Linked DNA regions of Oreochromis niloticus. The protein of the gene in region 2 interacts with the protein of the main gene of each other region in a biochemical or structural test. Links are inferred from orthologs where the notes say so. Each region holds a gene or a part of one and is shown on either strand. Other genes may lie near its edges. The genes, in order: polyadenylate-binding protein-interacting protein 2 and ubr5.

Region 1 (12,695 bases), on a different chromosome or scaffold from region 2:
ACACCAACACAGGGGTCGTGACCTCACAGCACTTTGCAGACATCTGTGGCTGTTGCACATTCCCCAACATCTCCCTCTGACCAATCAGCACTCAGCAAGAATGTGTGACCTGCCACCCCTGAGGCCACGCCTCCTTTGATACACACACCCTCATCAGCATGCATGGCTGCAGTCCTGGTCTGTATCTGACCTGACCGGGCGACAATGGAGGGCTGCGGCTGATCTATGGCCGCCGCTGCTTTGTGCCTCTGTCACAGAAGAAGAGAGAGCAGAGCAAGCAGGAGGAACTTCCTGTCAGATAAATTAGTCCTCGCTCTAAATTCCAGCTCAGACAGCAGCTCTGGAGGTTAGAAACCAGCTGAGGGCCTACAGGCTGGGCAGACTCTGTCGCCCCCTGCAGGCGGAGCTGCAAAACTCCATTAAAACACAAGTTTTTAACTTTCAGTGAACTATTTGAGGTCAAGTGTGTAGCATATAAATAAAATATGTTTATTTATTTTTAAAAATGACTATTTAATAATTTTAAAGAACATTCTAAAAAATGTAAAAGTAATATTTTCTTTTACTTTATAAATGACCATACTTACATAAATCATATACTGCATCTCCATGTATGTTTACATGTTTCAATTGATTGTTGCACTTTTGGGTTGGTTCAAGACTTTTGCCCAGTCCTTTATGCTCTCGTAGCTGTGTGGATGCTTTTTATTAACAAACAAACAAACACTTTTTTTTTCCTTTCATAAACATTTATTTCAAGTAGTATAAGAAAAAATAGATTTTTTTACATTGTTTTTGTTTATACGACTTTTTATACAGTACTTTCTGTGCATTTAGAAAAAAAGTCAACACGAGTTATTTGATGTAGGCAGCAGAGCGAAGACAGGTCAGAGCTGACAGAAACGCCAAGGATGCTGGGAAAAAGAGCAAGAAACAGCAGAACAGCCAGCTAAACAAACCACGACCGGAAAAGTGCTTTTAGACGCCACGAGGCGGCGAAGGCGACCCTCTGAACAGGAAGTCGAATTTTAAAAGAAAAAAAAAACAAAAAAAAACAAGCACACGGTTTGATTTCAGGTTTTATAAAAGTGCCCCAAAAATAATAATTAAAGTGGAGACAGGAAGCAGTTTGTTCTGATTTAGAGTCATACAAACACTCCTCTCAGCTGATGTACATTCAGAGAGTTCACTCACTCACACACACACACACACACACACACACACACACACACACACACACACACACAAAACTAACTGTAACTGTGAACACATGCGAGCGCAGAACTTTGGCAACACGTCAGGCTGAAGGTCGAGTGGCGGCTGGAAAATACAGCAGACATCTTGGTGATGATGTCACAGTGCGGAGTAGGGTTAGGGGGAGGGAGGAGCCTTGCCGGGTCACATGGCGTGTTTCTGGATGCCTGGGGTGAACTCCTTGGCATTGGGGTTCAAGCTGCTGGTCACCTAAAGGAGAGAAGAAGAAGAAAAACCGTCATTGTTATTTCTGTGAAGAAAATAAAGAAACGGCGACCTCTGCTGGACAGATGAGGGTCAACAGTCAGAGACTAATTTAATAATCAACTAATTAGGAAGAAAAAAACCTAAGAAATCAGTGAGTGTGGAGATGTTTTCAGACACGTTCAGGCACTGTGCTGTCTCACTCAGCAGCTCTTCCTGTATTAATGATTTCATTATTTTTTATTGCACTATTTTACACATTATTGTATCATATTCAGCTTTACACATGTTTAATTCAGATTTTTACATACTGAGGTCCTTTATCTTTTTCCATTTGACTATGCTAAATTATTTGTGTAGTTTTTATTCTATTTTTCAAACTTTATTTTATTTTATTAGTGGTTGTTTTTAATGTTTTGGCTCTTGTAACAGGATTTACCAATATTCGGGATGAATAGAGTATATTTGTTGTAATCCTACATTTTCATAATCAGGCCTACTTAAAAAAATGTTTTATACTTAAAAAAAAGGGGGGGAAAAAGAAGTTAACACTCCAGTGAATTCTGGGTAAAATATTCATTGTTTGGCTCTTCTGCAGAGCTGACCTCAGATTTAATTATCTCTTAAAGTTTTATCATTCCTTCAAGCAAAAACATCAAAACACACTGCAGATAATCGTTTTCATCTGCAGACTGTTTTTTTTATAATGTGTTGGAATAACGTCAGCTGACAGCTTTTATTTTTATGGCCAAAACACCAGTTTTCTCTGTAACCGATGGTAAAGGTGATAAACTCACCACCACATCCAGGTCTTTGTCACCATCGAGGACCAGGAGGCTGATCTGCTCCTGCAGCTGGCTGACGCTTTGAGAAGGGAGATCTCTGGACGGGATGAACCACTCCCACTCCTCCTCCTCATCTAGCATCTCCTGGAAACAGCGCTCGATGAACTCCTCCTCCCACAGCTCCTCCTCCACCTGCCGAAAACACACGCAGAGAAGCAGATGTCACCGCTTGTTGGACCAACAAAGAACCAAAACTTTTAACGTGTCATCCAACCCGAGAGCGAAAATCACACAGAGAACACTTTAAGGGGAGATGCTACAATGTTCTTCTGGTGAATCTGCTCTGCACCCCCTTCTACTAATCCAGTTATCCTTGTTTCTTTCTCTGGCTAAGATGATGCTGGTTAGCAGCTCAATAAGTAAGCCCAGGCTTTCCTAATCTAGCAATGACCGTGTTCACATGGCAGAGGCGGGGTTTGCAACACCTGACCAATCACAACGAGACGACTACTCGAAACAGAGCGGCTGATTTTACAAATATAAATCGGAAACATTCAAAGAGTTTAACAGAGAACAGAGTTAAAGTAACACAGCAGCTGCTGTCCTCCCTCCTTTGTGAAACGTAACGCTCTCTAAAACACAGCTCCACGGACTCAGTTTCCTTTTTCCAAACAAAACATCCTTATGGAAATTTCCAACCGGACGCCTCCCACCTACTCCTCTGTTAACCGACTCCACACGCTGTCAGCTGATTGCATAATCAGGCCACCGCCTGACCTGAATTCCAGCTCAAGGAGCTGCTGCTTTGTGGTGCACACAGGCTTCAGCTGCTCGGTGTAATTTTCCTTCAAACTGCAAATTTCCACCTTAAAATCACAGCTACTTTTAAGAATGCACAATTTCTGAACGTTAACCTTCCTTTAATCTGTAAACAAAAGCCTAGATTTCCACCTTAAAAAAGTGAATCTGTAGGCAATGACCTTTGTTTTCAGTTGAACAACACAGGTGTTGGAAATATTCTATTTAATCTGCTGACCAACATACTTTCACATTAAAGTGCAAATTTTCACCGTAAAAATCACTATTTTTGAAAAACAGATTTCCACCTTAATAACCAAAATCAGCTGAGTTTGTATGTAAACATACAAAGTTTCTTTTTATCTTCAACTTAAAAGTCCAGATTTCTACCTTAATATTTGTCATCTGTATATACAAGATGTACAACAGCACAATTTCTGGGTTTAACCTGTAAAGATGTTTACAGATATACACTTTAAAAAGTCACCCATCATGCTTTTGGATACTTTCCCTGTCTTCAAATCAAATCAACCTAATTTCACTTTATCTCTCTTAATCTCAATAAACTACAACTTAATATTCACATTACCACCTTAAAAATGAATATGTTTCTAGATACTTCTCAAATAAATAACTCCAATTTAAGGCTATTTTTTTCTTGTAACATAAACCCCAGATTTTCACTTTAAAAGTCTATCTATGGAAACTGATCTTTAGTTCCAAGCAAAGCAGACTTGAATTCTACTGCAACACTTTGACTAAAACAACAAAATTCTGACATGTAGTTTCCCTTAAACCTCCAAATCCAACCAGGAAAGTCTGTCTGCAGAAATCTACACCATAACATACTGCTTTATCTGCATATGGGAGCTTCACATCAGAGCAACGTGAGTGCAGTCTATAAAAAGAAGAACAGATTTCCTCCTTAAAAGTTGACGCAGTCTGTTTGAAGATACTGATCTTTGCTTACAACTAAAAACAACTGTTTAGGTACAATTTATCTTAATCTGCAGATTTCTACCTCAGAAACTGAGCTCACTGAGCTCATATAAAAATGAACAAATCCGCAACTTCATCTGTTTATTCCCACCTTAAAAATTCATCTTGGAGTGTTTTTCAGACGCCTTGTCTGTCTCCCAAAATAAATCACCCTCAAGTCAAACCTTAAAGCAGTCAGAGGAGTCCGTGTGCAGATGCTGATCTTTCATTTTAAGTAGAAGAATACAGATTTGAGGTGTAATCTGTATGGAAAATGACAGATTTCGATCTTAAAAGGGAAAGCTATATTTGTCTGCATACACGTGTTTTACAGAACAATTTCTCGGTGTAATCTGTAAACTGAAAAACAGATTTCCACCTTAAAAGTTATCTGAGTCCACCATACATTGGACATAATGTATCTATAAAACAATAGTTAATAAAAAGATAACTAGTCTGTAATCTCAGGCAATAATTAATCTTTGAACTTGTTATTCAAACATTAGATTTCCACCTTAACAGTCAACTGAGTCTTTCTGTAGCTACTGGTTTGAGGTATAACTTCTCTTTAAACTCCAGCTAAATCTGTTCTACCTTAAAGGATCAGCCTGCTGTGTTTTTGGATGACTTTTCCTCCTCCGTAATAAACTTAATTTCAGACTATTTAACCATTTTTCCGCCTTAAACGCAGATTTTTATACTTGCAGTCCAGGTGAGCCTCGGCCCAGCTCCTCACCTGCCTGTTGAACTCCTCCTCGTTCTCCATCCACATATACTCGGCGAACGGGTCGTCCTCGGCGTTGAACTGGCTGGTGAGGATCACATCGGTGCCGGTGGTCATGTTCGGGGCCCCGCTGCTGATGCTCGGGTCTTTCATGTCTACAAGGAGAACCAGAGGACACAGTGAGGGAGAGGGAGAGAGGTCAACGGGAACAAACACGTAGCTTCGGCCGTTATGATGCTCGCTGTCATGGCCGCTGTATGACGGACAACAATAGCAAGCAGCTAGCGAATAATTTTTGGCGAGAACACAACAGTAACAGAAAAATATCCCCGCGAAAACACCACCACGAGCACCCAACCGCGTTAGAGGAGCACGGGGAAACGGGCAGCTGTGTTTTTATGAAGAACAATACCTTCGGGGGTGATTTATTCGACGACAGAAGAGAGAAACGGTCAACTTGCTGGAACTCGGTTGTTGCTGTAATGGCCGCGCTGCTTCTGTTTGTTTACATCTCCGCCGTCACCGTGCGCTCGCTCCTCATTGGTCGAGGCCCTGTTGCCTTCATGGACTTCACGCCTTAACGTCGGAAAATAGGTATCTAACAAGAAGACCAGACAAGGTAAACGTTATTTATACCAGAGGTTGAGAATGTGTTCTGGGTCTCTATTTCACTTTTTATTCATTCACTAAATATCACAGTGCACCGATCCAAAGAACTTTATGTCTGGATACACATTATAATCGACGCTACACTTTAGCTTGTTATTTTTTATATTTAGTCATCAATGTAAGTAGATCACTGGACATCATGAATAAATATCAGCTTAGAATAATCGGGGTACTTCTCTAAATTGATGTAGCTACAGTTTTCATTCGAGAGAACAGGCATGGGTCTCTGTTGATTATTATGTTTACAGATGACATTGTGAACTGCAGTGAGAGCAGGGAGCAGGTGGAAGAGAGGTATTCTCTGGAGAGAAGAGAAGTAAAAGTCAGTAGAAGCAAGACAGAATACATGCATGTGGATGAGAAGGAAACAGGTGAAAATGTGTACATGCAAATAGCTCAGATAGTGAAGGTTGATGAGTTTAATTAATTGGAGTCAACAATCTAAAGCAATAAACATTGCACAAGGGGGCTGAAGAAGAGCGTGCACACTGGGTGAGGTGGAGTGGTTGGAGATGAGTGTTGCGGTGACCCATAAAGGGAGCAGCCAAAAGATAAAGGTTCAGTAGGTGTAGGTGTTGTGATTCTTTTGTGTAGACAGGTTTCAGTGTTGTCTGTATTAAAAAGTAAACAGTGAAATAACTATTCTGTGTGGGTTTACAAGTACAATAAAAAGTTTGTTGATCTTTTATACAACTATAATCTGCCTAGGATAAGAAAGTCCATGTCTGAGCAGTCCTTGTGTAGCTGTTTATTTTATCTGGACACCCACTCACGCCCAGATAAACAAAGTACTATATTCACTGGAATATTTCTTTGTTTTGTAATTTGATCTAATTCTTTCAATTTGAGAAGGGCTTTCATCACGTTAGGTGCTGGCACCTTTTCCGACCTTGAAAGCAGCATTGTAGTCCAAACTCTGAAAGCCTGCCTTCCTCCGAAAGTTTATAAAATCCACTGATTTAACAAACCTAAACCCATTTTTTAAACCAAATACATATCCTCTATAGTAATAACAGAACCTGAGAGAAATTATTAATATGGAGGACCTAAGTGTGTGTTGTGTTAATAGTTATTTTCATAGAAAACATTTCAGCAGCGAACAGAAACAACAAAAACACTGCCTGGTGCAGGAGGAGAGGAAATATCGCGATATTTCACGTCCTCCAGTTTGGTCACCTGTCTCGTGCTATTTACTAATCAGCTGGGCTCGGGTGTTGGAGAAAGGGTAAGAGTGTCCGTAATTACAGATAAATGATATTATACACGTAAATTCACAGTTAACAGCTTCATGCACAGTTTGCACATTAAATATCAGATAACTTAAGGGTGTTAGTTATGCTAGTGTTAGCAGGTAGGAGGAGATGTATGTTAGCAAAGTTAGCTGCGCAGCTTATCTGAGTCGTTTTTGGTTTCATTTTGTCATATATGACAGCGTACTTAATCTTTTAGTTAACATGTCAAGTTAAACAACCTAGATATGATAGCGCCGCTAGCTTAGCTGTTAGCTCGACCCGTAAAGCGTGTTTGCTGCAGCTTTCCTTCTCCTCTCACTGTACCTGCACAGATGTTACTCCTGGTCTGTGTCAGGCTGTGATTCACTCAGAGGCTCGTTGTAATCTCGCATCTTGTCGATGTTTCCATTGACTCAGAGTTTCTATTCCTCAGTGAGGAGGTCTCCATCACTCTGTTTGCATCAGGTCATGTTCCTCCTGCCGGGCTGAGGTGAATCTTTCTCTCCCTCCTCCTTTAACCGCCTCTTATGTTCCCTTTGCAGTAAAGATCAGAGTCGTGCTCCTCCGTCTGTGGCTCAGGGCCTCCACTGGCTCCTGTTTTCTTAGGAGAGGCTTTGTTTGAAGCTTTTTCTAACTCATTGTGTCTCAGCAGAAATAAGACTTGCCACCACAGAAGAAAAGGAGCTCCTGCTCACTTTGACCACATTAAGTTCCTGTCATCTTTGAAGACCTTTTCCAGCGCCTGTTTCCTTCTTTATCTTGGCTCTCTGTGCTGAATCCAGAGAGCGAGACAGACTTTTTGATATCATGTCTCAGAAGACGCAGGCTGACGGCGCTCAGAAACACTTCACCGTGGGTAGGGGGCTCCTGGCCGCTGCAGAAACCTTGAACTTCAGCATGAACGAGCAGCGTCCCAACAGACCAATGGGGGTGGGGTGGGTGTGGACATGGCCATGGAGGGCCAGGACGGCAGCGGGCAGATGCCCCGACGTGGCGGCGGTGGCAGCAGTAGCAATCTTGGCAGCACCATGAAGCTGTTTGCCAGTTTGGGGCTGTCGCCCTCTGACCTGGACGCTCTGGCTGAAATCCCTGAGGAGGATATCAGTGTGGAGACGCTGCCACACATCCTCAGGCAGCTGAAGAGCCGCAAGGGGGAAGCAGGAGAGCGGCGGGCGGCCATGTCCTCTGATGCTGCGTATCGAGGAGGAAGCTGGGAAGAGGGGCACGTGGGGAGGATGGGCAATTCTTCTCTGGGACAAGGTTCAGCCAAGTCCTCCACAGACTTTGGGTACAGCTCCCTGCAGGACGTCTCCTCCGGCCGGGGCTACGGCTTAAATTACAGCGGTGGAGGTGGGAGCAGAGAGAGGCCATACTCTGAGCTTTCCCACCGCGGTGGGCTCGGCATGGGCCCGTCTGAGCCCGTCTTTATGCAGAGGAGGATGGGCTCCCCGTCAAACGGAAAAGTCCAAGACTTCTTGGGAGTCATGCCCCCCATGTTCCCCCACGTGTGCTCTCTTTGTGACTTTGACGTTCATTCCACCATGGTGAGTACGTCCAACCTGCTTCCTCTTTTCTTCTCGGACTAACTGTAAATGTTTGAGCTCCAGTCTTCCTTCAGTCAGTGACAGGCGCTGATTCAGGTCCGGTTTACTTCATATAATTTCCTTGTTGTATCTCCTCACAGCATGTTCCCTCTCTCAATTTTCTCAGCTGAAGCTCTCCAGCATTGAACAGTTAGATTTGGATCTTTCCAGGGGTCATCCAATCAAAGCAAAAATCTCTTTTTATAATTAGTATCTGTTCACATGAGCTGGTAAAGCTGTTAATGTTACACATTCAGTCTGATTTACTTGATCTTTTCACTTCATTAGCTTTAACAAAGTCCTGGGAGGATCTTGATTTGCTCCTTGTGTCTCCAACATGAAACATTTGAAGCTCCTCACACATTCATGGACTTATCGAATTGGCAGCTTTTAAACCTGTGAGACTTTTGGCAGCTGGGGTCTTGTGTTTGTTTTTCTTCAGTTTGTGGTGTCAGGAGTGAGAAAGAAGGATTTAATCGATTATCACTCGAATTTGGACATTTAAATTGTCTCTGAGAAGAAATGTACAGTTTTTGGCTTTAAAGCAAAAAATTTTAACATGGACGCACATGGTTTTTTTCAATGCTGACCAAACATAATTTACCAAAAATCAACAGGAAGTTAGTAACCTACTAACCAAAGTCACACAGTGAGCAGGTTTGATGATATGTGGGTGAGCTCTTCTTGCCTGTATGACTGTCACTGATGGCTTAAAAAAAGTATCAAATACTGTCTGTTATAGTGATTATTGCACACAAAATATAATGAATTATTAGTTTTTCTAGGTCTTAAAAAGATCTTAATCATGAATTTTTGGTTTTAAAATGGAAACCCGATGAACTGCATTTAACTTGTTAGTAAATCTGGTCCTAAGTGATTGTGTGGATGACGCTATGAAGGTTAATACCTGTGTGAACTGTTCCTTTAATATACAGGTTGTATTTTAGGAGAAACAGCCTGTTGAGTGTCAGTAATGCTCTGTTTGTGTTTGCAGGAGTGGAACCAACACATTAACGGCCTCTACCATGCTGAAAACAGACGGCAGCTTCTTGACATGTGAGTCGCTCTTAATACACAACAGTGAGCCAAAACAGATTATGTTTTGAATCTGTTAACAGCATGTTCACATCAGAACAAATTAGGTTGGTTTGCAGAGATTCAGGACCCAAACCAACGCAAACATGCTCCTCTGGCTCATCGGTGTTGACTAAATGCCCCTTTGAGGTCTGTTCCTCTTTATCAGATGTGTAACACTGAATGTTGTTTTTCAGGTATCCAGAGTGGGACCCTGGTATGGGCCCAGGCAGAGGGTAAGAGATGCTAACATTAAGCTCCTCCTTTAGTGTTTGAGATGTTAGATTTAGAGTCCTAAAGGACCTCGGCGTAACCTTGGAAAAGTGTTATTACTGACAGCCATGCACAAACAGACTGTCCTGCACTGTTTTGTCTTTCTGTTGTTTGCATTGTATGTCATGTATGGTGCACAGCAGCAGAGAGAGCAGCAAGCATACTGTACACCTGACAGGCAACTTCCTGTTTGGTCAGATGGGCTTCATTAGATAAATCCAGCATGTAGAAATCCCTCCACAGGCTGTTAGAAACAACCAAGACAGTCTGAGAGTTTCATTTTTTTTAAGCTGACTTACAATCTGTTCAGATGTTGGAAAAAATACATGAATATAAATTTTATTTGTGGGAAAAACTTTAAAGATTCAGAAACTTTCCTGCCTCCAGAGGTTTCACAAACCATCTCTTTGATTGTGTTGTGTGTTAATAATCTAGATGTCTGATAACTGACGATCACATGTTTTTAATTCCAGTGGTCGTCCCTGGGAGACCCCCAACCTGTCTGCAGGACTGCTGGGACCAGCCCCCATGTCTTCAGGACCAATGGCAGGGATGTCCTCGAGCTGGGGTGGAGGTGAGGGACCCACAGATGTCTTATTTTATCACTATTAATACTATTAGTACTTCATGATTATTTTAAGTCATTTATCACTTTCTCTCTGTGTGGGGAGTCACTATTTAATTCATAAAGATGGTTTCAGACAGTTGACGTCAAGTCTTTAACTTCCAACCGATCAAGTCGGGTTCTCCTGTGAGCTCAGTGTTACATTTGTATGCCAAGCTTGCTGACTTTGGGATAAAAATGGTTAAAAAGCTCAGGTATAGTAAATACAGAGAGCCATTAAAAAAAGTGGGTGAGGGTTAAGAGACCCGGCTGTTTAGTGCCCTCGGAAAGCTGCAGACACTTTTTGAAATCTGTCTTTTCTCATGTGCAAACATCGGTGTGTTTGTGTGTCAGGAGGAGGAGGAGGACGTGGTCCCGGTCCATTGGGACAGAATAAGGTGAGTTTGATCCCCTATGTCTCTCTGCTGTTTCTTCCTGCGGATCAGCTTATTTCTGCAGAGCTCAGCTGGTTTCAGTAAAGACTGTGTCGTGTCCTCAGCTGAGGAGCAGGGTGGTGGTGGTGAAATATGAAAGGAAGCCTCTCAGCGACAAGACGCTGTTCGCCCTCGCCGAGTGCTTCGGCTGCCTGAGGGAGCACCTCATCCTCAAGAACAAGGTAGGAAAACTCACCTCGCTGTTTCCACCTCAGTTACTTCTAACTTAGATGTAAACATTAGTTAAACTTTCTTCTTCATAAATGTAACTGAACATTACAATCAGCTGCCTCACCAGTGACTCTTTCATCCACATGAACTCCATCTCCTCAATCTGAAACTGCAGCTGGCAGTCCTCATTCTCCTTCGCAGCCTCGCTGAGCTGAACCCACTCACAGAGGATCTCCACACCAGGAGGAGGACTGCTGGCACCAGCTGCAGTCCAAGATGGTGGAGATGGAGTCAGATCGAGCTTGTGATAAGAGACTATAGATAGCTGGAGTTCAAAGAAGTCTGAATATAATCCAGTAATAACAACATTAAATACGTGGTTGTGAAACTGGTCGTGAAGCAGACCTCTCTGAGGAAAACTGAATTCAGCATTGAAGTCTAATCTTTGTGACCATCAGGCTTTTCTGGAGATGAGCACACATGAAGAAGCTCTGGACGTGGTGAACTACTACCAGCAGCATCCACTGTTGTTGTACGGCAAACCCGTCACCTTCTACCTGTCCCAGACCCTCATGTTCATCGAGGTAACATCGCCCTCGTTCGCTAAATAAAACTCGCCGCTTCCCCACAGACTCAGATCCTAAGAAGTTTCTGTTTCTAACCCGCAGAAAGACGAGCGACTAATGGACCGACCGACAAAGCGGCCGGTGGACCGACCAGGGGACCAACTGATGACCCGGCGGGTGGAGCGGACGATAGACAAACCTGAGAAAGAGGTCAAAAGTCACGGCAGCAAGGTGGTTTTCTTTTACCACCTGCCCCGAGAGGACGAGAAGAAACAGGAGCTGCTGACCCTCGCCGAACGCTTCGGTGTGGTTGAGAAACACCTCTTCTTAACCGACCGGGTAAATAAACCAGAGCAGGAAACACTGCTGCTCTTTGAGTGCTGATGTGATGCCAGCATTACTACAGAAAGTGTGGAGATCAGATTGGGCTGAGTATAGCCTGTGATAAGGTGAAGTAAGTTTGAATGATGGCTGCTTTTGTGTTCGTCTGTGTGTCCAGGCGTTTATTCAGCTGGCAGCTGTGGAGGATGCAGAGATGCTGGTGAAGCATTACACCCAGAACCCCCTCGTCTTCAATGGGAGAATAGTCCGTCTCAACATCTGCACCAAATACAAAACCCTCAAGTGAGTACCCGGCTTCAGACACTGCTACCATGACCTGGTGTAGGAACTGTAAACACATACATGAATGAGATGCAGTGAAAGAGACAGATACAACATTTTGGACTGGAGGTTGTGGGAAACAAATGAAATAAAAGACAGTCACCTGACCTGGTGACTGGAGGTTTATTCTACTGAAAGAACTAAAAGTCAATGAAACCATTAAGCATTGGAGGTCATTTTACATAAGACATGTTTATAAACTCTTTCATAAGCTCCCTCCAGACCACTCAGTTATTATTTTGGACAAACACTTTAGCGTATTTAATGAAAGTGTGCGTATTATGAATATTGTCAGAATTAGATGCCCTTTTAAAATGGCCTTGTATTGAAATGTGACAGGACAAACAAACCAATGTTTGTTCTTGTTCCTCCATGTCACAGACTTTAAACTGGTCCAGCACAACTGATCCATGATATTTCAGCTTTCGTAGATCATAGCAGACGTCATGTTGAAAACAGCAGGGTGTCAGCAGAAGTAGCTCCAGATTAGCCAGTGAGCAAACCCGACTCTTTGATTAAAAGTTAGAAATCGAACATCATCTCTGACCTCGTTATGAGAGGTGGTGTTAGCTGGCTAACTGCTAACACAGTGTATATATGTCAGGATACACATGTTAGCTTAAACTCATACACACTCGTTCATACAGTGTGAAGCACAAACAGGGCGGAGGAGACAGTTCGAG
Region 2 (12,567 bases):
CAAAACCACACAAATGTGTTTGTTGAGTATGCTGACAAACTTCCCAAAGACAACCTGTCAAGGCTCTTTTCTTCGGGCTTCCCAACAACCCACAATAGTGCCAAATGAATAGCTAAGCCATGTCCTGTTGTTCTGCGAGTCTGTGGCAGGGAACGAAACATATGCTCTACAGCAAAATCTGGAGCAGAGGGCTCCTTAGTCTCTTACAGCCCGACTCGCATGCATATTGAACAGCTAGTATATGAAATCACTGTTGGATGTTGTTCTGCTGGCAGGACATCAACAACTATCAATGAGACACTCACCAAAATTCATGTTCATAGCCAACGAGAAACAAAGCAGCTAGTGAAAAGGTATTTTTATAGAAACATACAAACAAAAAAAAAAAGTTGTGGCAAATGGCACACACTTGCTCAGCCAAAAAGGGAACTGGCTTTCAGAAAGTTACAAAAACAATTTTAGGGCTGCTATGTTTTTAGTCTATTGGTGTCAAGAAAAAAAAAAGAAGCTTTTTCTTTTTAAAATTTGAGGTACAAAAAATAAATTCCTAAGATAAAGCTATACTGAGAAGATTTGATTTGAATTAAACTAAAACAAGAGCATCTGATATTCAAACAGCAGTTTAGGTATATTTAAGACTTTGGAGCAAATCTTTGTTGAAACAGACAATACCACAGTAATATGCTAGAAATGTGTTATACTCGCCAAAAAGGGCATAAGTACTGACTAGAATTCAAATTACAGCAACCAAGATCCATAAGCCTGAGCATATTCCTCGCATCTTGAATGAGACGTTTCCACAAGCAATCTGTTTTCCAATTCAGTGCCAAAGCTAAAAGCTAAAAAGGTTTCCTGGGACAGATCCCATCATAAACAAGTCTCTCACCCATCGCTGCCATCCGGCTTGCTGAGCTCCAGGCGATCCGGCTGGACAGCAAAGCTGATTCTGCATACACGTCCATCCTGAAAGAGACGCAACAGTGACTTTTAATGTATTACATTAATTAAAAAGGGAAAACAAATACATTTACATTAATTTATTACATTCGGAAATGAAAACAAAACGGAGTAAAATACAGTCTTTTCTTTAAACTATTTTTCTAAGATAATTAATAAGCACGTTAACTACAGCATACCAACTCATTTATCACCATGGTGCTGTACAGTGCTATCTATAATTCAACATCATCATAATGTGGTATCAGCTTGACATGAACAAACACACTCAACACTTCAGCTGAGCATCTTTCACCCACTTGCAAAATACAAACTGAGGTCAACTAACTAATGACTTGTCACTGCACTGTTCAAACTGAGCTGCACCAACTGCAGAATTATGATAAATATTAACAACATATTTAAAAAAAAACCCTAGTCCATATCTACATCTATTGAAGCATATTATCTCATGTTGTACAGCAAAGTCAGAGGGCATCTGATAACTGTGACCTGGCAGCAGATCAGCAGCTGTTTGATTTGATGACTTATAGCATTACCTCAAGGAGAAATCCGGCATGGTTTGGACCGACAACACACTGTTTTAGGGTGGCCTGCTCCAGCAGACTAAGGTGTGGATGACTGCATTAAAGGAAAAAGAAAAAAAAGTGAGCCGACACACAGGACAGCAAGCAAAATAATGTTTACAATAAGTGATCACAATGAATAAAATCACCTAAAAATACAACGCAGATACACACTCACCTGTTATAACTATATTTGTTGAGCTTCTCTGAGACTTCACGGAGTCTGAGAAAAAAACAAAACAAAACTACATTAACATATCACCCAGACCAATTTAAGACCTCAATGCAGGTTCCTGTGTGGGAGTCAAAAAAGCATACTGAGAGAAATGCTGTAACATGAGTTACTGTTTATATACAAGCCCTTTTAACTTGCATACAAATTACTGTAAAACATTTTTAAAAGCAAGAAGAATATAGGTGCATTTCAGAAGGCTTTAACATATATGCATCTTTTTAAATTATCTGAATGATCATAATGATCTCAGGACAATTTGTTAATTCAATTAGGAACTAGGAAAACAAAACCTCTTTTCTACCATATAGCAAGACAAGAAAAAAGCCAAAGATAAAAGATGACATGTTAAACACTTGTTTTGTTTTAAAACAGTATGACACACAACAGGTTGCTAATAACACACACAAAAAATAAATGTTCTTGATCAGCACTGACAAAACATCTGTGGGAACTTGTATGTGATGATGTATGTGCAGCAAGCATCTAGAGCCTGTTGGACTGTCCAGAGTCAATGCAATGACTCAGTGTTACCTTTTAATTTCTCACTATTTGAGAATAAAATATATATTATACTTAAATTAATGAATGGTTACAAACTGGTAAAAACTCTCTCTTATAGTTCTGTTGATTTTTGTTTGACTGTAGCTAAAAGGCTCTTTGTTAGGCTCCAAAGTTTCCTCTAAGAAGGACGATCCCATAGGAAGATATCAGCCAGTGGCAAAAGCCAGAGTTGTAGTATGCATTTTAAATACCTTTCAGCAAGTTCCCAGACATGGTTTGAGTCTAGTCCCAGGCTAAAAGAAAATTCAATAACCTTCATTAAAAACTAAGTTTATGGTCTGGGACTAAGCTTAATCCACGCCTGGAAAACTGAGCCTCAGTCAGTTTTTAATGTACTATATAGTTCAAAGGTTATGAATCCGCAACCCATCATTACTGGCAATGTGGAAAAAAATTACACTTCATTGATTTTCACTGCTTCATGCCTTTTATCAAATACACAAAGCAGTTTAAAAAAAATATAAAAGAAATTATAACAGCTATTTCAAGCTTTGCTGTGAGTTGCCCTTAAGTGTAAAGCAAACTATTTTTGGTCCCTTTTCCACTTGACAATCCTGACAAATGTGCTGTAAGATTGCCTATATTGACATTTAAGATGAGTCATGACCACCATCCAGCTGTCTGCAGGCAACTGAATCTTCTATCTGCAATCTCTAGTAACAACAATGTGAGGATGGCATGAAAATATCACATGGTTAGCCCTACATGGTGTCAACGAGAAACTGAAATGGTCCAAATAGAAAACAGATACTGAATTTCCCCCAGAACCACCTGACAATAAAAAATAAAATAAAAAAATCTCCCACTGACACAATGAAAAGCAGTTGTCTGTCCTGCCAGTCCAAAATAATCTTTTTAATTGGTTAAAAAAAAAAAAGAAACATTCAAGGATTGCTGTAAACTTTTAATACTCTGTTTTATAACTTTCTGAAATAGGTGGCCTAACTGTGTGCTGCTGCAGTCCACTGAAAATCAGCACAGAAAAAGAAAGAAATTAGACATCAACTTCCATACTTATTTAGACTATCAGTGTCTTTTATGAAGAAGTGTTTGTCTCATGTCATGAAACCCATTTGCACCTCACACAATCAAGGAAATGCAGTTATCCAATCATGCTTCAGCACACACGAGGTCTGGATTGTACAGTTTCTTCAATTCTTAAGTGCAAAAGATCACTGGTGATGTGATGGCATCCAAGATGTGAGAAAAACAAAAAAGCATCACAATGTACATGTTACTGTCAAGGCCAAACATACAAAATCACATATATCTCACTACTTAGACATACAAAAAAGAATTGTGTACTAAAATAGATGCACAGTTTATGCAGAATGTCAGAAAAAGCCAGAAAATATGCAATCTAATTCCACCCTTTAGAAAGCTATCAAAAGCAAGGTAGAATGTAAACAGGAAATATTTTTAAATTACATCCAATGCCTCTAAACCACTGGGACATAAAAAACAGAACAGGCAGAATTCTTGTCACACACACAACATATTAAAAGCTCATGCTTCACTCCTAACACTGCAAAAAAGTAAGAGAAAATGACTCACAAAGCATCCAGGTCAGCCATTCACTAACCTTCCCATCAAATAAATGGTAGTACCCTAGCACAGACAAGTCTATTCCCTTCAATGAGCCATTTAAAACTGTTTCACTGCAGCAGAAACCCCCCCCCCCCCCCCACATAAAATATCCATCTCACTACAGGGGAATGCCATTTGCCATTTCACTGTCCTAAATGAATGTGTGCAAGCAAACCTCAGGTCAAACAAAGAAATCTGACCAGATATTCATGCTAGGGAAGCTGGACTAAGACTTTTTATGTCAGATAGAAGCAGTTATCTGCTTTGACAACTGCAAGTTCATAGAAGACAGACAGAGAGAGAGTGAGCAAGGGGGTGTGAAGGGGGGGGGGGATAGCACCACATGGTGACAGCAGCATGCAATGACATGCATGCCTGGGGATCAAAAAACCCTGACCTCTTTTAAGGAAGGAATAGTCCATACAATCAAGATGTTTCAGCGGTGCCTCTGACCATCAAGAGCAAACTGTGCTTTCCTGTCAATCAGACCAAAGCTGATCCCCGCAGATTTGGACAGTACATCAACCAACAGAGGATGCTTAAATCCTCCCGTGCCCATAACCAGTATTTAATCTCAAGGTCATTCTAAAAACACTTTGACTTCTTGACCTCTTTGTCTTTAAGTAGAGCAGCTCATTAATCAGTTAAGTCTCAATGGGTGTTATAAATAGTTTTATCATAAATCGCATGTTCTGCCAAAAAAGGGTCGTAAACAATCTCCTGAACACTCAGTCTAGAACCAAAAATCCATAAAGTCAGAGTGATGCATACCAGCACTTTGTTACAAGCAACAATGTAGTATGTGGCCAAATACACTGTGCAGTGCCACATTGTATTAAGGCAACAGTGAGAAGACTTAAAATGTCGCGTGTGGGCACTCAGGACAATTTAGAATCCAACACAGACCGTAAACTTTAAAAGCCTTGGCTTGCCACCTTATTAAAGCCAATAACTAGATTAATTTGAATGCAATGGTGCTAACAGTAGTTCGCTGCATATTTTAGATATTTATCTCAGTGCGCAATGCTAAAAGAAGACAAGCGGTGACATAATTTCAAACGATGTTAGTAATTAAATGTTTAATGAAGCGTCAAGAAAAAGAAGAGCCTTCCACAAAGGCCCTGAAATGCAAATATTTGGCTTTCTTAAGAGCGTGGTAGCGACTTAACTAGCTTGCTAGCATTAGCAGCTAGCTATCGGTAAGCTGACGTTAGCCGCTGCATAGATCACGGTAAATCAACAAGACGCTCGCAAAACAAACAATGACACTTGTCAAAGAGCGTATATGGTAACTGCACACGAAAAAGATTTAAATTTTCTACTAAGTTGTGTTTTTACGACCTTTAATACCCTCTCTTTACCCCATCCCCCAACCCCGCAACTTTGACTAAGAGCCAATCCATCCAGAGAACCAAGGAAACCGACAGCTAGCGTTAGCTATTCGACTGAAAGCCAGTTAACAGGTTAGCATGTTAGCAAATGACTCTGTTTAGGTAGCAGCAAGCTAACAAGGATCCCTCAAAATGCCGGGCCTCATTTTACCCCCCGGGTGGGGGGGTCATTTAAATAATTTAAACCCGAACACATTCACATGACAATGTCAACATCGAGCACAAATACTAACTCGAATACTAAGCAACACTGCCCGCACATAAATATTGATTTCAAGTCTTCTTTTTCCACGGGCCGCAACAAAATACCTGTCATTGAGCTGATCCTCGGTCCCGGGCAACGGGTGAACCACGAAGTGTATAGATGTCATTGGGCCAATCCAAAATCACAACGAGACGTGTGGAAATGGGTACTCTTTCGATTACTGTATATATGAGGATTCATAGGAATCTTTTAAGGGCGAAAAAGCTCGAGTTAGATCCCAGCCTCCTCACCCACATGCCGCCATCTTAGCTCTAACCAGCTTCTTCTGTGTGTGTTGATTAGTGCACATGCACTCGCTCCGCTGGTTGGACCTCTAGCACAAACAGGAAATAAAAAAATTGGATGGGGCTGGCCTCGAGAAGAAAGACATCTGTAACAAAAAGCCAAGCGTTGCACTCCGAAGGCTTTGTTCTAATCCAGTTCACCTATTGCATCTTAGTCTGTTTTGTCTGTTAGGCAGTCGAGGTGTTCATATGTTCACTAAAGCACTATGAAGGTCAAAGAAGGGGTTAAATTTTGCGAGGTTATCTCTTTAAAAGCAGGAACAATAGAATAGAAAAAGATGAGACAATTGGTTTTAAAATAGAGTATCAACGAAAAAGAAGCAGCACAAATTTGTGCCTTTTGTGCAGTTACAAGCGGTATAGTTTTTTCTATTAGAAATTGCGTCATTATTCTAGCTTTATTGTCTGCTTCCAAGTCAAAATGTTCAATAATAGATAAAATATTATTTCTAAAGCCATTCAGTTAAAAAAAAAAGGTATGTACAATACATAACACGGTAACTAATCAGTGGTAAGAAATGTATTAATGTCAGCCTAAAAGGCTAACACGATGGACTGCTGTTGTTATAATAATGTTAAACAGCTAGCACTATTAGCTTTAGCGTTTAAGCTACCCAACTTGAATTCTTTGCTAGCGTCCACTGTAATGTGGCTATTTTCTCCCTGTGAACACGTGTGGTTATGCAGGCCTATGTATACGTGTGCGCCTGTAACTAGTAACTGCATTGAATTCTTTGCTTGTATGTTGTTTGCGATTTGCTTTTGCTCGCCTGTTTTTTAAAACAATATTTATGAATAATAAAATATTAATGAAGACATTAATGACAAGTATACTTTGCCCCTACTTGCAAAATTTCATCCTTGAGTTAAATCAAATGAAAGGATGATGAAAAAACAACAAAATAATACTAATACTACTACTAATAATAATATCAGATGTCTTTCTGCTAGATAGATAAATTGTATTATATAGAGTGATAGCATGAGGTATGAAAGATTTCCCGTTTCTGTAATAAGAGTGTATCTGAATGGGCTCCTTGAAGCTCCTCTGCTTCCTGTCTAGTTAAGTGCTGCAGTCAAGGATTACCTAAAACTGATAATAGTTTGTTCAGTGATCTCCTCGCCACCACAGTTTCAAAAGAGCCAGCCTTCCTAATCACTTTATTCAGTCTGCTGGTGTCACCAGTTCTGATGCTACTCCTTCAGTCGACCACAGCAAAGTGCACTGCACTTGCCAGTACAGACTGATATCTCGAACAATTTGCTGTGCACACTGAAAGAAAACAGAGCCTCATCATCCCCTTTTGTATATGGCCTCTTTATTGGTCTTCCAGTTCAGTCTGTTGTTTATGTGGATCCCCAGGTACTTGCACTCTGGCACCACATCAACATCTTGTCGCAGGATTGGGTTGTGTGACTGTCCTCTTCCTTCTAATGTCAATCACCATCTCTCGGAAGCAGACGATTCCTCCCAGACCACTCCACAAAACCGTCCACTACTGCTCTGTACTCCCAATACATCCAACCACCGCACAGTTGTCAGTGTAATTTTGCAAGCTGCCCGAGTCTAAGTTGTATTGAAATGTAAATATAATGTTTCTGAAAAATGTTTAAAATTGTGATTTGTCCAGTTAATTTAGTGTCAGTAAGAGCAACATCAAAATCTGAAAATAAAATTATGATTTTTTATATAAGTAATTATTTATTACTCAAAAGTACTTCCAACAAGTACTTCCAACATGGCCCCATGGGCCTTCTTGTTGGGATATTTGGAGCATTTTGATTTATAATAGCAAAGTATAAATCTGTTATGACTAAAGTAAAATTATGACTAAATTAAATAAGAATAATTGCAAAACTACATTTTAAAGACCTCCATAAGTTCTGCTCAGGGATAAAAAACAAAATCAGATTATTCTCTCAATCCATTTGGAAATAGGTATATTTAATCCTATGTTTGTTTTTTCAGTTTTTGCTATATAACAACTAAATATGCAAAAAACCAACCAGCACTTACTATTAAACCATTATTTTTGGCATATAATGAACATTATTTGTAATAAAAGATCAGATGTACTTTATTCCTCCCCAAATCTGGGCAAGATCATAAAACAAAACCCAGATAAAGGCCACAAGCCGAAACGCGTTGTACAGTCAATAAAGTTGCTCCTCTTTCATTTTAAGTGTTGTTGGAGTTCCTGCCTTGTGAGCTTTTCATCCTCTCCATGCACCTTGGAAATAGATGAAGTTATGCCAGAAATTTTTGCTGCAAGATCATAAAATAAGACAGCTCCCAAATTAAAAAAAAGAAAGAACTCAATAAAAGATAAAGATGAAGAGCTAATTAAGTGACAAATGTAAGTAAATAAGTTAATACGCATTTATGTAAGTAGTATCTAAGTAACATTAAAAAGAATATCCATCTCACTACAGGGGAATGTCTGTTGTATAATAAAGTAAAAGTAAATATACATTAAAAATGTATTCAATCATAGCAATAATGTTGATTAAGATGCAACTGAAATATATAAAATGAAATGTTTATCTTTTAAAAATATCTAATCATTAAGAAAAATATACTTGGTATAAACTGAATGTACATTAATCAAGTAAATGTCATTGTGCTATTATTTTGGACATAGCACTTATGTAACAAAATTACTTGTAAGATTTACATTATATCAAATTAAAGTCAGCGTTTTGGGCATATTTTAATTTTGAGTGTATGAAGCAGGAACTCCACTTTTCTTCTCCTCATACCACATTAGTCGTATCTGTCCTTGTGGCAGCAGAGATGAAACAGATGTTAAAGAAAGTGAAAAAAAAAATCATGACCCTCAGATCATTGCTGCTATTCTTACACTGGTTTATATTTCAAACTGAACCACCTAAAACCTGAGCTCTATAAATGGAAGACCACTGGGAGTCTGTGCACAGCTGATCTTCCTCCCATGGAAAACTGTGTTAGTGCGGTATTCCCAGTCTATTTAAGCCCTGTTGAGTTAAGGAAATAATTTTCTGTTGTTTGAAAGAAAGAAAAAGTAGAAGACTCTAATTTAAGCACAACGTTACCATTATGTAACATTGTCAAAAGGAAACTATAGTTTAAGCAGAGCTTAATTCTTGACCCATGCATGTCATGGATGTGAGCAGAGGAGCTATAGTCAAGAGATGGCCACATTAGGGAGAGGAGGGGTGAATGAACCTCTGCTCAGTGCATGGTGCAAATGATAAGATTTGAATTTTCCAATTTTCTGAAATATAGATTTTGTGTTTCCTGTCCCCTCCAAAAAAATGCATTGTTAAAAGACAAATAAATAAATGAAAACAGCCTATGCAAAACAATGATTTCCAACTCATATTTTTGTTATACATGTACAATCTCACAAAACTGCAGTTTATCTCACCAGTAGGTGGCATGGTTTACCTTTGATAATAATGTGAGACAGTTGTAGTAATGACAGCTGTCCTTCCTGCACTGCTCTTCTGATTATTTGCTAACACACAAACTCTGCAGAGTTTTTTCAGGATATTTATGCATTCTGATAAGCTCATGGAGAATCGCCCTTCAAAGCTGGAACTGAAAATAAGAGTTTGCCTGCCGAATTCCATTGAAGCATGTTGAGGAAAAAAGACTTGCACTTCTCCTCCAAGTCAGGTTCCTCTTTTATCTGCAAAGTACAGCACAAGTTTCCACTCAGCTCTCGCAGAGAGAAATGCAACCATCTGACTCAAAATGACCCACATGGATGTTGTCCTACCCTGGCCTGCAGTCCACTTTATCTGCAGCTCGACCGAGGAAATGTTTCCTAAAATGTCAGTTGTAACATAAAGAAGAAGACGCGAGTCACACAAGTCTTACAGTGGCCTTTGTGTTAGACGAGCGTCTGTGAAGAATGACTGTTGATTTCGCAAACATTTAAACCATGTTATTAAAATAAGGGGAAATAGTGCAGATGTAAGTGAGCATATTTTCACTAGATTATCTGATCATACGTTCTCCTTCAAGTTTGTATGCACCACATCAACCAACCAGATGAGAGAAGAGCGTAAGTTTTATCTGTGTTTACTGAGTTCAACACAGAGGTTATTGAAGCCAAGGCCATTGCTCCAAAAAAACACCCTGTACCCTTTTTTAAGCGTGTAGACAAACAAACCAGAGCTATTTTTAGGTAGGAGGGTGCTGGGTTATTAAATGACCCCGGGAGTTCTTAAATATGGGTACAAAGAGTCAGGGCCAGAAAACTGCATTATCATCAGAGAAAGGTTAGTGGGTTTGGGGATTTAGGAAGTGTGCACATTTTAGGCTGCAAATTTAACTCAATGAATAAAGTTTTATTGCACACAGAGACACTAGAGACAAGATATCCTACTCAGTATAATCAGAGGTTTTCCAGTTGTTACACCTTAAAACTAGGCTGTTTTCATCAGTGAACCCAGACAAGCTGCCTGGGGTAACATGATCAATAGCTGAAGAGTATGAGTTTAAAATAACTCCTCTTAGTGCTGGCAGAAGCATATCTTTGCAGGACTAGGGAAGGACAGAATGTAGCTCTACCTCTTAACATGCACTCGCCTGCACAAACCAAAAAAACTATATAAAAAGAGAGAAAGAGGATTCAGCCAGTCCTGAAATGTAATCTATGAGAAAATCCCACACCAGCAGAGATAAGATGGTGCTTTATTTGGAGCACAGTCGTCAAACTATTTTAAGCGGTTTTCACCTGATTTGACCGGTGACCATTAAAGTTCAAGTTCACTTTATAATGATTCAGAATAACTGCCCATTAAAGACTGCCTGGAGATTTCAAGAAGGGTGCTGAGCGGCGAAGGATTTTGCACAAACTCTGTGCACAACCTACATAAAATCATGGATTTCTGCACAGCTTACATGGCATTATATTGGTCTCTATATGGCTGGTGAATAAACAGACGTAGTGAGTAGTCTCTTTCTGGACATAGAAACACATCCATTTCTGAAACATCTAAAGAGAACGCCAAGTCCTTGGTAATCTAGTCGAAGTGGAAATCACCCCTGCTAGCAAACTCCAGTTATCCATTTGTCACTTGCCATCTAGGGGTCAGGTCATAACATGAATGAAGCACTGGTCGTAACACTTGCACAACTGTATACACATGTTGTGAGGCTCTGCTCTAAAGAGCTATTCTATGATTGGTTAAAGACCAACAACATGCCACAGGATCCTCTTTTATGCCATAACCTCTCACTTAAGCTGAGCTGTTTTGCAAACCAAGGATGAGGTGGAATTGAACTGCATGCTCATGCAGCAGCTGCTTGTCAATCACAAAGTACACCCACCTTAGAGAGTACCACATTTATCATACATTTCTAATATAATGAAGACCCCTGTGTACAACAGAAGTCTTCATTATTTTCCCCCCATCTTTCATCTTTAAATTGTTTGCAATAAACTCAACATGCAAACACGGTTTGTGTAGATGAGCTGTGGATTGGCCAGTTGCAATGCACTATAAGTTGGATTACTGATCAGAAAATAATTAATTCATATTTTTTATAGTTCTGAGACACTGGATGCAAGTTTCAGGGAGCTTGAGAAAGTTATGAATGAAATCTTTATGCATTGCATGGTCACACTTTTATTCTGTTCCAGCAAATATGCTTTTGAGGAACATCCCAACAATGCCAGACACAGTCAAATGGGCTGTGTGTCTGTGTGTGTATTTCCCCATTGTGTGTCTACAACCGGCCTTTTGTCCCGGTTCTCTGTGCTGTGCAGGAAGGTCTAGACAGCTGACACTTACCTAATCCACAGGGCTGGCTGAGGCCATCTCCTGTTGGCTGACCTCTTTCCTCCCACAAAAGACAAGGGTCTGCTAATTTAAACAGCAGTCAGATTAATATATATCTATTTTGGGGGAGATTTGAGAAGAAATAAAAAACAAAAAATGACTCAAGAGATGTAGCCTATTCACGTCATTGACTAGTATGTTAAATATATTGTTGTTGCTTTAAGCACCAAACTATCTGAACCTTCTTCCAGTCAGGTGAAATGATTCAAACACAGCTGCCTTGCACCAAAGTAGGGATGTGATTTACACACAAGACACTGGAGCTAACAAAATGTAATCTTGGTACAACTCTGAATGACATTAATGGTAATGAATAATTGTAGAAAGAAAATAATTAGGGGCAAATTACTGTGGGGGGGCATTTTGCACTGAATTGCACTGAATTTATATTATGAACATTATACAAAAGGGGGTTGGGGGGGTCTGAAGCACTTGTCCACATAATTTTCCACTCATGGATGAATTAAGAAGATATATTATTAGGAGATATTAGAAACTACCAGGTCCCCCCTTTATCCATGGCCCTGCCTCTCTACTTTAATGAAACAGTAGCTTCATTTAGATACATTTATCTGAAGATTGTTAAGTAGTTACAAGTGCTATATCAATTACCTACCTGTTGCTATCTGATAATGAGCATCTTTTCTCACTGTCTTCACTCCAAGTGTCATAGTGATGATTAGTCAGGACAGATGGTGAGCGTCTGCTCGTCAGGGCAAAGTTACTTATTAAAAACGCCAGTTATTTGCAAGGTGGGTGTGTGGGTTGGGGGGTGGGGTTTTTCTCACACTCCCTTGCTGTTGTGTACCACGCAGTCTACACGGTGCCTTCAGCCCCTGATCACGCACAGTGCCCCCGCACCATTGGTCTACCCTAAAACACACCTTTG

Evidence for each region.
Region 1: the proteins of ubr5 (region 2) and polyadenylate-binding protein-interacting protein 2 form a complex in vitro, tested with the Homo sapiens proteins (2 studies listed by BioGRID and IntAct, with this or other methods). The link is inferred for Oreochromis niloticus from reciprocal best matches to the Homo sapiens genes UBR5 and PAIP2.

What each region holds. Positions count from the first base shown.
Region 1 is NC_031966.2:9,428,758-9,441,452, reverse strand, and holds polyadenylate-binding protein-interacting protein 2, read right to left. Parts: upstream 5,317-12,695; 5' UTR 5,156-5,316; intron 4,899-5,155; 5' UTR 4,897-4,898; coding exon 4,756-4,896; intron 2,436-4,755; coding exon 2,256-2,435; intron 1,465-2,255; coding exon 1,399-1,464; 3' UTR 728-1,398; downstream 1-727. UniProt on the Homo sapiens protein: Acts as a repressor in the regulation of translation initiation of poly(A)-containing mRNAs. Its inhibitory activity on translation is mediated via its action on PABPC1.
Region 2 is NC_031976.2:6,487,159-6,499,725, forward strand, and holds the start of ubr5 (E3 ubiquitin-protein ligase UBR5), read right to left. Parts: upstream 5,821-12,567; 5' UTR 5,669-5,820; coding exon 5,607-5,668; intron 1,747-5,606; coding exon 1,702-1,746; intron 1,579-1,701; coding exon 1,497-1,578; intron 964-1,496; coding exon 887-963; intron 1-886. UniProt on the Homo sapiens protein: E3 ubiquitin-protein ligase involved in different protein quality control pathways in the cytoplasm and nucleus. Mainly acts as a ubiquitin chain elongator that extends pre-ubiquitinated substrates.